Saccharomyces cerevisiae S288C: one gene and its partner. The protein of the gene in region 1 interacts with the protein of each later gene in a biochemical or structural test. Each region holds a gene or a part of one and is shown on either strand. Other genes may lie near its edges.

Region 1 (4,793 bases):
AAATGACCCTGCCAAAGAAAACTTATTCTTGCCTGTGTGGAAAGGCAACAAGTGTATCAATTTGATGGTTTGTAAAGAAGATACTCATGAGCTATTATATAGGATCTTTGGTATTGATGCGAATGCCAAGGCTACTCCAAGCGCTGAAGAAAAAGAAAAAGAAAAAGAAACGACTGAATCTCCCGCAGAAACTACTACCGGAACCTCTACTGAAGCTCCTAGCGCTGCTAATTGATAGTTATCATGTTTCTTATCCCCTCCACTGTAAAGTAAATGTATATTATTAAAAGGCAAAAATAAGAATATAATACTTCAGTAATGAGCCTTTTTTATTCGGTCTTGTTACTTCTTTTTTACTTCATTTTTTTTTTTTTTTTTGGATAGTAAATAATGCACTTTTGACTAGATCTTGAGTATTTAGTTGAATTGAAATTAAAGATACAGTGTATAAAAATTATACAAAAAATAAAGGAAACTTGTATATTGAAAATAGGATTGCCAATACATGGATTGAGACAGAGAATTTTTTATCTTCATATCCAGATATTCGTAGGAATAACAAAGTTTTAGTGACCCAAGGTATAAATTGCGAAAGACCTGCGGAGTTGGCGGCGAACACTGACTTTTTGGGCATCAACAAAGGAATCAACTACAACTTTGATAGCTCTATCCAAATCATAAGAAGACACAAATTCAGATAATCTCATTTTAGCAAAAGATTCTGCAATTCTTAGAATAGATTCTAAATGACGAACTGTGATTGGAAACGAACCTGTAGAAATACTTTCTCTTCTCAAATCCGCATATACCCTGCTAACCTTATCCATATCCATCTGATGCAATTTAGGGTATATTTTTGTCCTCGCATAGTGAATATATTTCATCAATAATTCCTGTGGAATAGGCGAGATCTCTTCCTCCTTCTTCCTTTGTCTTTGAAGTCTTCTTTGCCTTGCATTAAGCTGCTCATTTATTTCATCTTCTCCTTGTTCTATCGCCGATTCGCCATTATTTTTAAGCTCTTCGCCTTCTCGATCTTCATCGTTTTCTGGATGAGATCTTACATGAGAATCGACAACAAATGTGGCCAATCTTTCGTCTGCCTCTTCATCAACAAGGTCTCTGACAACACATAAAATATCAAATCTAGACAGAATAGGCTCGGTCAAACTAACATTCTGAGCTAAAGGCAAGGTTGAATTATATCTACCACCATTAGGATTTGCCGCAGCAATAATTGAGCAGCGCGCTTGTAATGTAGTAACAATACCGGCCTTGGAAATGGAAATACTTTGCTGTTCCATAGCCTCATGAATAGATGTACGATCCTGATCGTTCATCTTATCGAATTCATCAATTAAACAAACACCCTTATCAGCCAATACTAGCGCCCCCCCTTCTAAGGTCCATTCTTTAGTAATAGGATCTTTTCTGACGGATGCTGTCAGACCGACAGCCGAAGCACCCTGACCAGTTGCAAAGACCGCTCTATGCGCTGTTTTCTCGACGTATTTTAAGATTTGAGATTTGGCAGTACCTGGATCACCTAATAATAACACATTGATATCACCACGAATAGAATGTTTTCCATTGACGTTTTTTGGAACACCTCCAAATAATGAGCACGCGACTGCAGTTTTAATATCTCTATGACCATAGATAGACGGTGCCATCGATGATATAATTTTATCAATTATACCACGATCCCTAGAAATCTTTCTAAATTCACGTTCTTCTTCTTCAGTCCAACTGAAAACATCCAACCCTTCTTCGCCTTCGTTAGCTGTATTGCCCTCTCTTCTTTTTATAGAATTTGCCTCGATAATTGTTGCAAAAACGGGGAATCCGTTCTTTGCATTCAAGTTACCATCGTAGTTATTTTTGTAGATGCCGGTAACTTCTACCTCTTCACCTGGCTTGGATACATCTACCAAATCCGCCAACAAAATGACTTCTCTATGTCTTGGTAGACGGCCTGGAGGAACGGTTCCGGGAGCTTCCTGGAGCGTAACCCTTTGATAATTTCGGTACACAGTTTTTTCTCCATTGACTCTAAAGGGACCTTTTGATTTGCAGTTTGTACAGAATGAGATTCTAATTTCTTCATTAGAATCTTGAAAAAATGGGCCCAAAATGGAGCCACATTTCAAACAATTGAATTTGACATATTTTAATTGAGGGAAGACTCCTGTTCTTCTTGTCACCACCCCAGTGACGCGTACTAGAGAGGACAAATTAGACTCACGCAATTCACGTAAACTGTATATTGTTGGAAAATCAGAGATTCTTACGTGAATTTCGGAGTGAATACGGGCATAATCTGGGTAATGCAATTCTGTTGCCTCCATAGCCACGAGATCGAATATTTTCAACATTTCTTCTGGACATTTAGCTAAAAATAGTGCCAGGATGGCTTTGGACTCCGCTAAGTGTCTATAATTAACCTCCAAAGATTCAGAATTCATTTCACCTAATGTTCTAATACGTGCACCATATACAGAACGACCCGTTTCATCTGTATATTCCAGCAGGAATGATTTTAACTCTCTGGCAATAGTTCTTGAGACATTAGGTTGTGTTATCCATTCCGAGTAACTGTTAGCCTTAACGTTACTCAGAGATTCTAAAGTAAGTTCTTCTCTTAATGGGTCAATGTCCATGTCACTCAATAGATCGTCATCACTATTCTCTAAGTCCTCATACTGCCTTCTCCTTCTTCGTCTTTGCACAGGAAGGCCCATTTCATCAAGTTGCGCTGCACCTTCTTGTTCTTCGTCCTCGTCATCTATGTAGGCAACATTTCTCAATAGCCTATCTCTTTCATTTAGTTGAGCATCAATGCGGCGACGTTCGCTTAAAGATAGTTCTTGTTGTTCCCTGTCGTCAACTTGATCTGGATCATATCTATCTCTATTATGATCAGCCGCATAATCCTCATACATATTATCGTCCATCAAATCTACTTCGTTCATTTGTTCTTCAACTTCATCAATATCTGGTACATCGTCAACTTCATTATCGTCACCTTCAGGGTTAATCATATCTGGAGAACCAATAGGTGATGAAACTGGGTTCATCCCCCCTCTAAAATGTTGCTGAGGTGAGGATGGCGGTAGCTCATTTTCTGAGTCCGAATCATCTTCCTCACGTCTACGTCTTCTATTATCAGACATCACTTATATTGTAGTTGTGTTATACTTCTTAGAAAAGAGGCAAAGAGGTGTGTGGAGTATTATTAAGTAAACTGTACCAAAATGTGTAGATTATAGGATATTCACCATTTACTTTCTGGTTTCGTTTCTCGAAATTTTTCGTTGTCCTATTTTCTTCGGTAAGTAATTAGATTTCCTAAAAAAGGCATATGATAAATAATATTACACGCGATTCCGCCATCTTGGGTTTCCCACATACATACTTCACGAAGAAAAGAAAGAATTTAGTATTGTGTAATAAAATTGATGTTTATGTTTAAATATTTACAGAATGTTTAAACAGGTATTTAATCCATTTAGATGAAAAGTTAGTCCTTTTCCTTTTTAGCATCCAAAATCTCAAATTCAGCCTTCCATACTGAATTACCTTCTTTCGTATTCACATCCTTGAATAATTTTTGGAATATATCATTATACCAATCAGCAGCTAAAGGTTCCAACCCTTCCTTTACATTGTCTGGAAGTTCCTCCCAATCATTTAAGTTATCTTTAGGGAAAATAATAGTCTTGGCACCAGATCTTTTAGCGGCCACAGCTTTTTCTCTCAACCCACCGATACGTAAAACTTTACCGGTAAGTGTCAATTCACCGGTCATCGCAACCGTTGGGTCAATCGACTTATTCAATGCTAGGGAAAGGAAGGAAGTGGCCATAGTGACACCTGCAGATGGACCATCTTTAGGGGTAGCACCTTCAGGACAATGCAAGTGGATAGACGCCTTTTCAAAAAATCTGTTCTCAGGGAATTTTTGTGCTAAATACATCTTGGCGAATGAATAAGCAAGCCTTGATGATTCCTTCATAACATCTCCCAGTTGCCCGGTCCTTTCAAATGTTGGATGCTTGCAGTTGTGTAAAGGTTGTTCAAGGACAGATTCTACATAAAGTGAGCAACCTCCCATATTAGTCCACGCCAACCCCATAACTACCCCTGGTGGAGTTGTTTCGTATAACCGGTCTGTAGTGTAGACTGGAGGCCCAACGTAATCTTTTAGGTTTTTCTGGGATATGGAAACATTGATCTTTTCAGAGGTCTTTAAGGCTTCAATGTCATCGCTTGTCTTTTCCGAATTATTGTCCTTAGTCTTCTCCGATGAGCTTTTGGCGTTATTTTCCGCCTTTTCTTCGGAAGAAACGCTTTCTTTAGGCTTGCTGTCGGCTGATGACGTTGGGGAATCTTCAATACTCAACTTCTTTACCACTTGTAGGGCTGCTTTACGGTATATTTTCTCGATGTGTTTTTTCAAATTCCTTACACCACTTTCTCTACAGTAGTACTTCATTAACGCTGTTATTGCATCTTCTGTCATATCAACATGAGAGTTTTCTAGACCAGCGCTTTTCTTGGCACTTGGAACTAAATACTGCTCGGCAATCTTAACCTTGTCTTCAGCAACATATCCTGTCAACTCAATGACTTCCATACGATCCAGTAAAGGTCTTGGAATAGTTTCCAAAGAGTTAGCAGTGCAAACGAAAAGCACTTTTGATAAGTCAATAGGAATATCCAAGTAGTTATCCAAGAAGCTGTTGTTTTGTTCAGGGTCCAATACTTCTAACAATGCCGCGGACGGATCGCCG
Region 2 (3,863 bases), on another chromosome or scaffold:
CCTTGTATTTTCTGGCACACTTGCTTATCACTTCTTTCACTAAAAATATAGTTTAACACTCCAAGAGGAATACCATCCCCAAGCGAGTTGATTGACTGCAAGTGTAATTAAATAGGTGGAAATTGCATGGTGCATATGCCAATGGCTAAGAAAAAATTACTCTTACAAAGATTATTTTGTCAATTTCTCGAAGAAAACAATGCTACATTTTGAAATAGGATTTTTTAAATCGTGACATGTGCTTTAATAGAAACGTCACTTCAGCTCTGTCATTACATAAGATTTAACATGAGCAAAAGGGCTATTTTGGATACGGTATGTCATTCCTTTCCCCTATTAAATATGAAGAACATATATTCTCAAGTTGATAGAAAATGCAGGAACAATACACAACTATTTACACATTATGCTTTCTCGATTCTCTGAAAATGAACTCCAGTATGGCAATTTGAGCGCAGCTCATTCCGATGATTAATAATATGCCGTAAATAGAAAACATTACAATTCTATGCTCTGTTGAACAAACGGTGTGATGATTTCTGGTGTTTCTGCTTTTATAGTACTGTATATTACGTTCCAAAACGTGGAGCTGCCTTTCTATGGTGTCTATAGAATTTTCCACACTGTCTTGCAAGGGATCGGTTTTAGAGTCTCTCAGGTTTCTCTGCGCCTTTCTCGCCTTGCGTCTTTCATTTCGAATATCATCTTGGCGTTCACAATTGTACTTGAAGTCCAGATCAACAATCTTGTCGTGTGCTTTACCACCATAAAAGCAGATAGCATATTCTCCCTTATGTTGGCCTATAAATGACCATTCACCTTGACGTTCACCAGATCTCTCGATTATTGGCTTGTTTTTGTCATCAGGAGCAAATATTTCGTAGTTAACATCAAAGTCATTGCTCTCTCCTTGCTGTACTGCAAAATAATATGAGATTGTACAGTCAATTTCCGGAGTTAGCGTATATAAGCACTCCTTTCGACCTTTATTCAGTTCAAATGTCAACGGTGATGCCTCAGCAAAAAATTGTGCTAAAAAAAAAAACTGGAAGAAAAGTACACATAAATTGGACATGACGGAGTTTTTTAGTCAGTTCACAGTGTCCCTTCAAGTACGGTAACTATCAAGAGCCTTACCAGTTTCTGTCAAGATATTGTCCCCCCAAATTCTTTCATTGAGGAGAGGATTATGAAGAACGCGTTCTGTTTTAAAGAGAGAAAAATTCAGGTCAGGACGCGTTGGTCTCACCTTTGTTGACATAATGACCATGACAGTGTAGGAAGTCTAAGTAGTATGTGGAAACCTACGCGATCATACTGATACGTTCGTAAACTTTATCAACGAACGACGCTTTTTTTTTAAACCTCTATATAAGCATGTTTTTAGCTTGGGAAATTAAGGTGTAGCCCTGGTTTTGAAGATAATTAAGAATCTAATGGGGCAATGCTTGTGTAGATGACATTTTATAGAGTAAAATTACTTCCCGTTTAGCTCGATAAACGCCTTAGGCCTACATAAATCTTAAACATTTGTCCCCGGTCAGCTTTTAAATTATGTCTTCTTTGCCCTGGGGCGTCTTCTTGAACGGCATCAATTTAGTGAGTAGAAGAGCACTTCACATTTCCGCCTAAAATCAATGCAAGAACCATTAACAAAAAAAACCGCTCAGCAGGCGTAACGGGAAGTAACAGACTACCTTAAATTTTCAATAACAATTGTGCTATTATCTAATTTTCTTAGGAAAGAGGCAGTTTCGAAGTAGAACAATCATAATGACAAGCAAAACGAAGAATATCGATGATATACCTCCAGAAATCAAAGAAGAGATGATACAGCTCTATCATGATCTACCGGGTATAGAAAATGAATATAAACTCATAGACAAGATCGGTGAGGGAACATTTTCGTCAGTGTATAAAGCCAAAGATATCACTGGGAAAATAACAAAAAAATTTGCATCACATTTTTGGAATTATGGTTCGAACTATGTTGCTTTGAAGAAAATATACGTTACCTCGTCACCGCAAAGAATTTATAATGAGCTCAACCTGCTGTACATAATGACGGGATCTTCGAGAGTAGCCCCTCTATGTGATGCAAAAAGGGTGCGAGATCAAGTCATTGCTGTTTTACCGTACTATCCCCACGAGGAGTTCCGAACTTTCTACAGGGATCTACCAATCAAGGGAATCAAGAAGTACATTTGGGAGCTACTAAGAGCATTGAAGTTTGTTCATTCGAAGGGAATTATTCATAGAGACATCAAACCGACAAATTTTTTATTTAATTTGGAATTGGGGCGTGGAGTGCTTGTTGATTTTGGTCTAGCCGAGGCTCAAATGGATTATAAAAGCATGATATCTAGTCAAAACGATTACGACAATTATGCAAATACAAACCATGATGGTGGATATTCAATGAGGAATCACGAACAATTTTGTCCATGCATTATGCGTAATCAATATTCTCCTAACTCACATAACCAAACACCTCCTATGGTCACCATACAAAATGGCAAGGTCGTCCACTTAAACAATGTAAATGGGGTGGATCTGACAAAGGGTTATCCTAAAAATGAAACGCGTAGAATTAAAAGGGCTAATAGAGCAGGGACTCGTGGATTTCGGGCACCAGAAGTGTTAATGAAGTGTGGGGCTCAAAGCACAAAGATTGATATATGGTCCGTAGGTGTTATTCTTTTAAGTCTTTTGGGCAGAAGATTTCCAATGTTCCAAAGTTTAGATGATGCGGATTCTTTGCTAGAGTTATGTACTATTTTTGGTTGGAAAGAATTAAGAAAATGCGCAGCGTTGCATGGATTGGGTTTCGAAGCTAGTGGGCTCATTTGGGATAAACCAAACGGATATTCTAATGGATTGAAGGAATTTGTTTATGATTTGCTTAATAAAGAATGTACCATAGGTACGTTCCCTGAGTACAGTGTTGCTTTTGAAACATTCGGATTTCTACAACAAGAATTACATGACAGGATGTCCATTGAACCTCAATTACCTGACCCCAAGACAAATATGGATGCTGTTGATGCCTATGAGTTGAAAAAGTATCAAGAAGAAATTTGGTCCGATCATTATTGGTGCTTCCAGGTTTTGGAACAATGCTTCGAAATGGATCCTCAAAAGCGTAGTTCAGCAGAAGATTTACTGAAAACCCCGTTTTTCAATGAATTGAATGAAAACACATATTTACTGGATGGCGAGAGTACTGACGAAGATGACGTTGTCAGCTCAAGCGAGGCAGATTTGCTCGATAAGGATGTTCTCCTAATATCTGAATAGCAAAGTGATAAATTACTGCTAGTCTGAAATAATTTCCTTTTCTTTGGAAAGAGAATTTTAAAAGTACTTACATATTTGCATAGTGAAAGATTTAAATAAAAATTTCTTAAAGTGAAACGGTTTAGCATAATTGGTGGCATGCGCTTAAGATAGTGCCAAATACCAAAAGGCACAGGTGCAGACGATACTTAAACAATAGTGCTACTACGCCACTTCGTGAAAGCTAATATCTCTTTACCTTGCATTTGGGCATGTTGCAAACAGGAGGATCAAAATACAAATGGAATCAAGAATGCTCTTCTGGTATGATACTTTTTGTTTTTCTTTTGAGCCCATGCGTACATTTGAGCTGTTGAAACAGTCAAAAATAAAACGGCAAATAAATTGAACTTGAACACAAAAGTAAACCAAATCCAAGACCAAACTTCAAAAGTATAGTTGGGAGCAACAAAAAGATTGAAAATACCTTGATTCAATGGGACACGGATCTTAGCGTTACCATGCTTCTTTTGATAGTCACCCCATAGGCGCAATTTAATGTGGCAATAAAAGTTCCATAGTTCTGA

The links.
Region 2: of the proteins of MCM2 (region 1) and CDC7, one has a biochemical effect on the other in vitro, tested with the Saccharomyces cerevisiae proteins (14 studies listed by BioGRID).

The regions. Positions count from the first base shown.
Region 1 is NC_001134.8:174,354-179,146, forward strand, and holds MCM2 (MCM DNA helicase complex subunit MCM2), read right to left. Parts: upstream 3,174-4,793; coding exon 567-3,173; downstream 1-566. Other genes in the region: NCL1 (tRNA (cytosine-C5-)-methyltransferase), read left to right, coding at 1-235; ATP-dependent Lon protease PIM1, read right to left, coding at 3,521-4,793. UniProt on the Saccharomyces cerevisiae protein: Acts as a component of the MCM2-7 complex (MCM complex) which is the putative replicative helicase essential for 'once per cell cycle' DNA replication initiation and elongation in eukaryotic cells.
Region 2 is NC_001136.10:422,436-426,298, forward strand, and holds CDC7 (serine/threonine protein kinase CDC7), read left to right. Parts: upstream 1-1,773; coding exon 1,774-3,297; downstream 3,298-3,863. Other genes in the region: ERP3 (Erp3p), read right to left, coding at 398-1,075; trans-2-enoyl-CoA reductase (NADPH) TSC13, read right to left, coding at 3,567-3,863. UniProt on the Saccharomyces cerevisiae protein: Serine/threonine-protein kinase. Needed for the initiation of DNA synthesis during mitosis as well as for synaptonemal complex formation and commitment to recombination during meiosis. Required for HTA1-HTB1 locus transcription repression.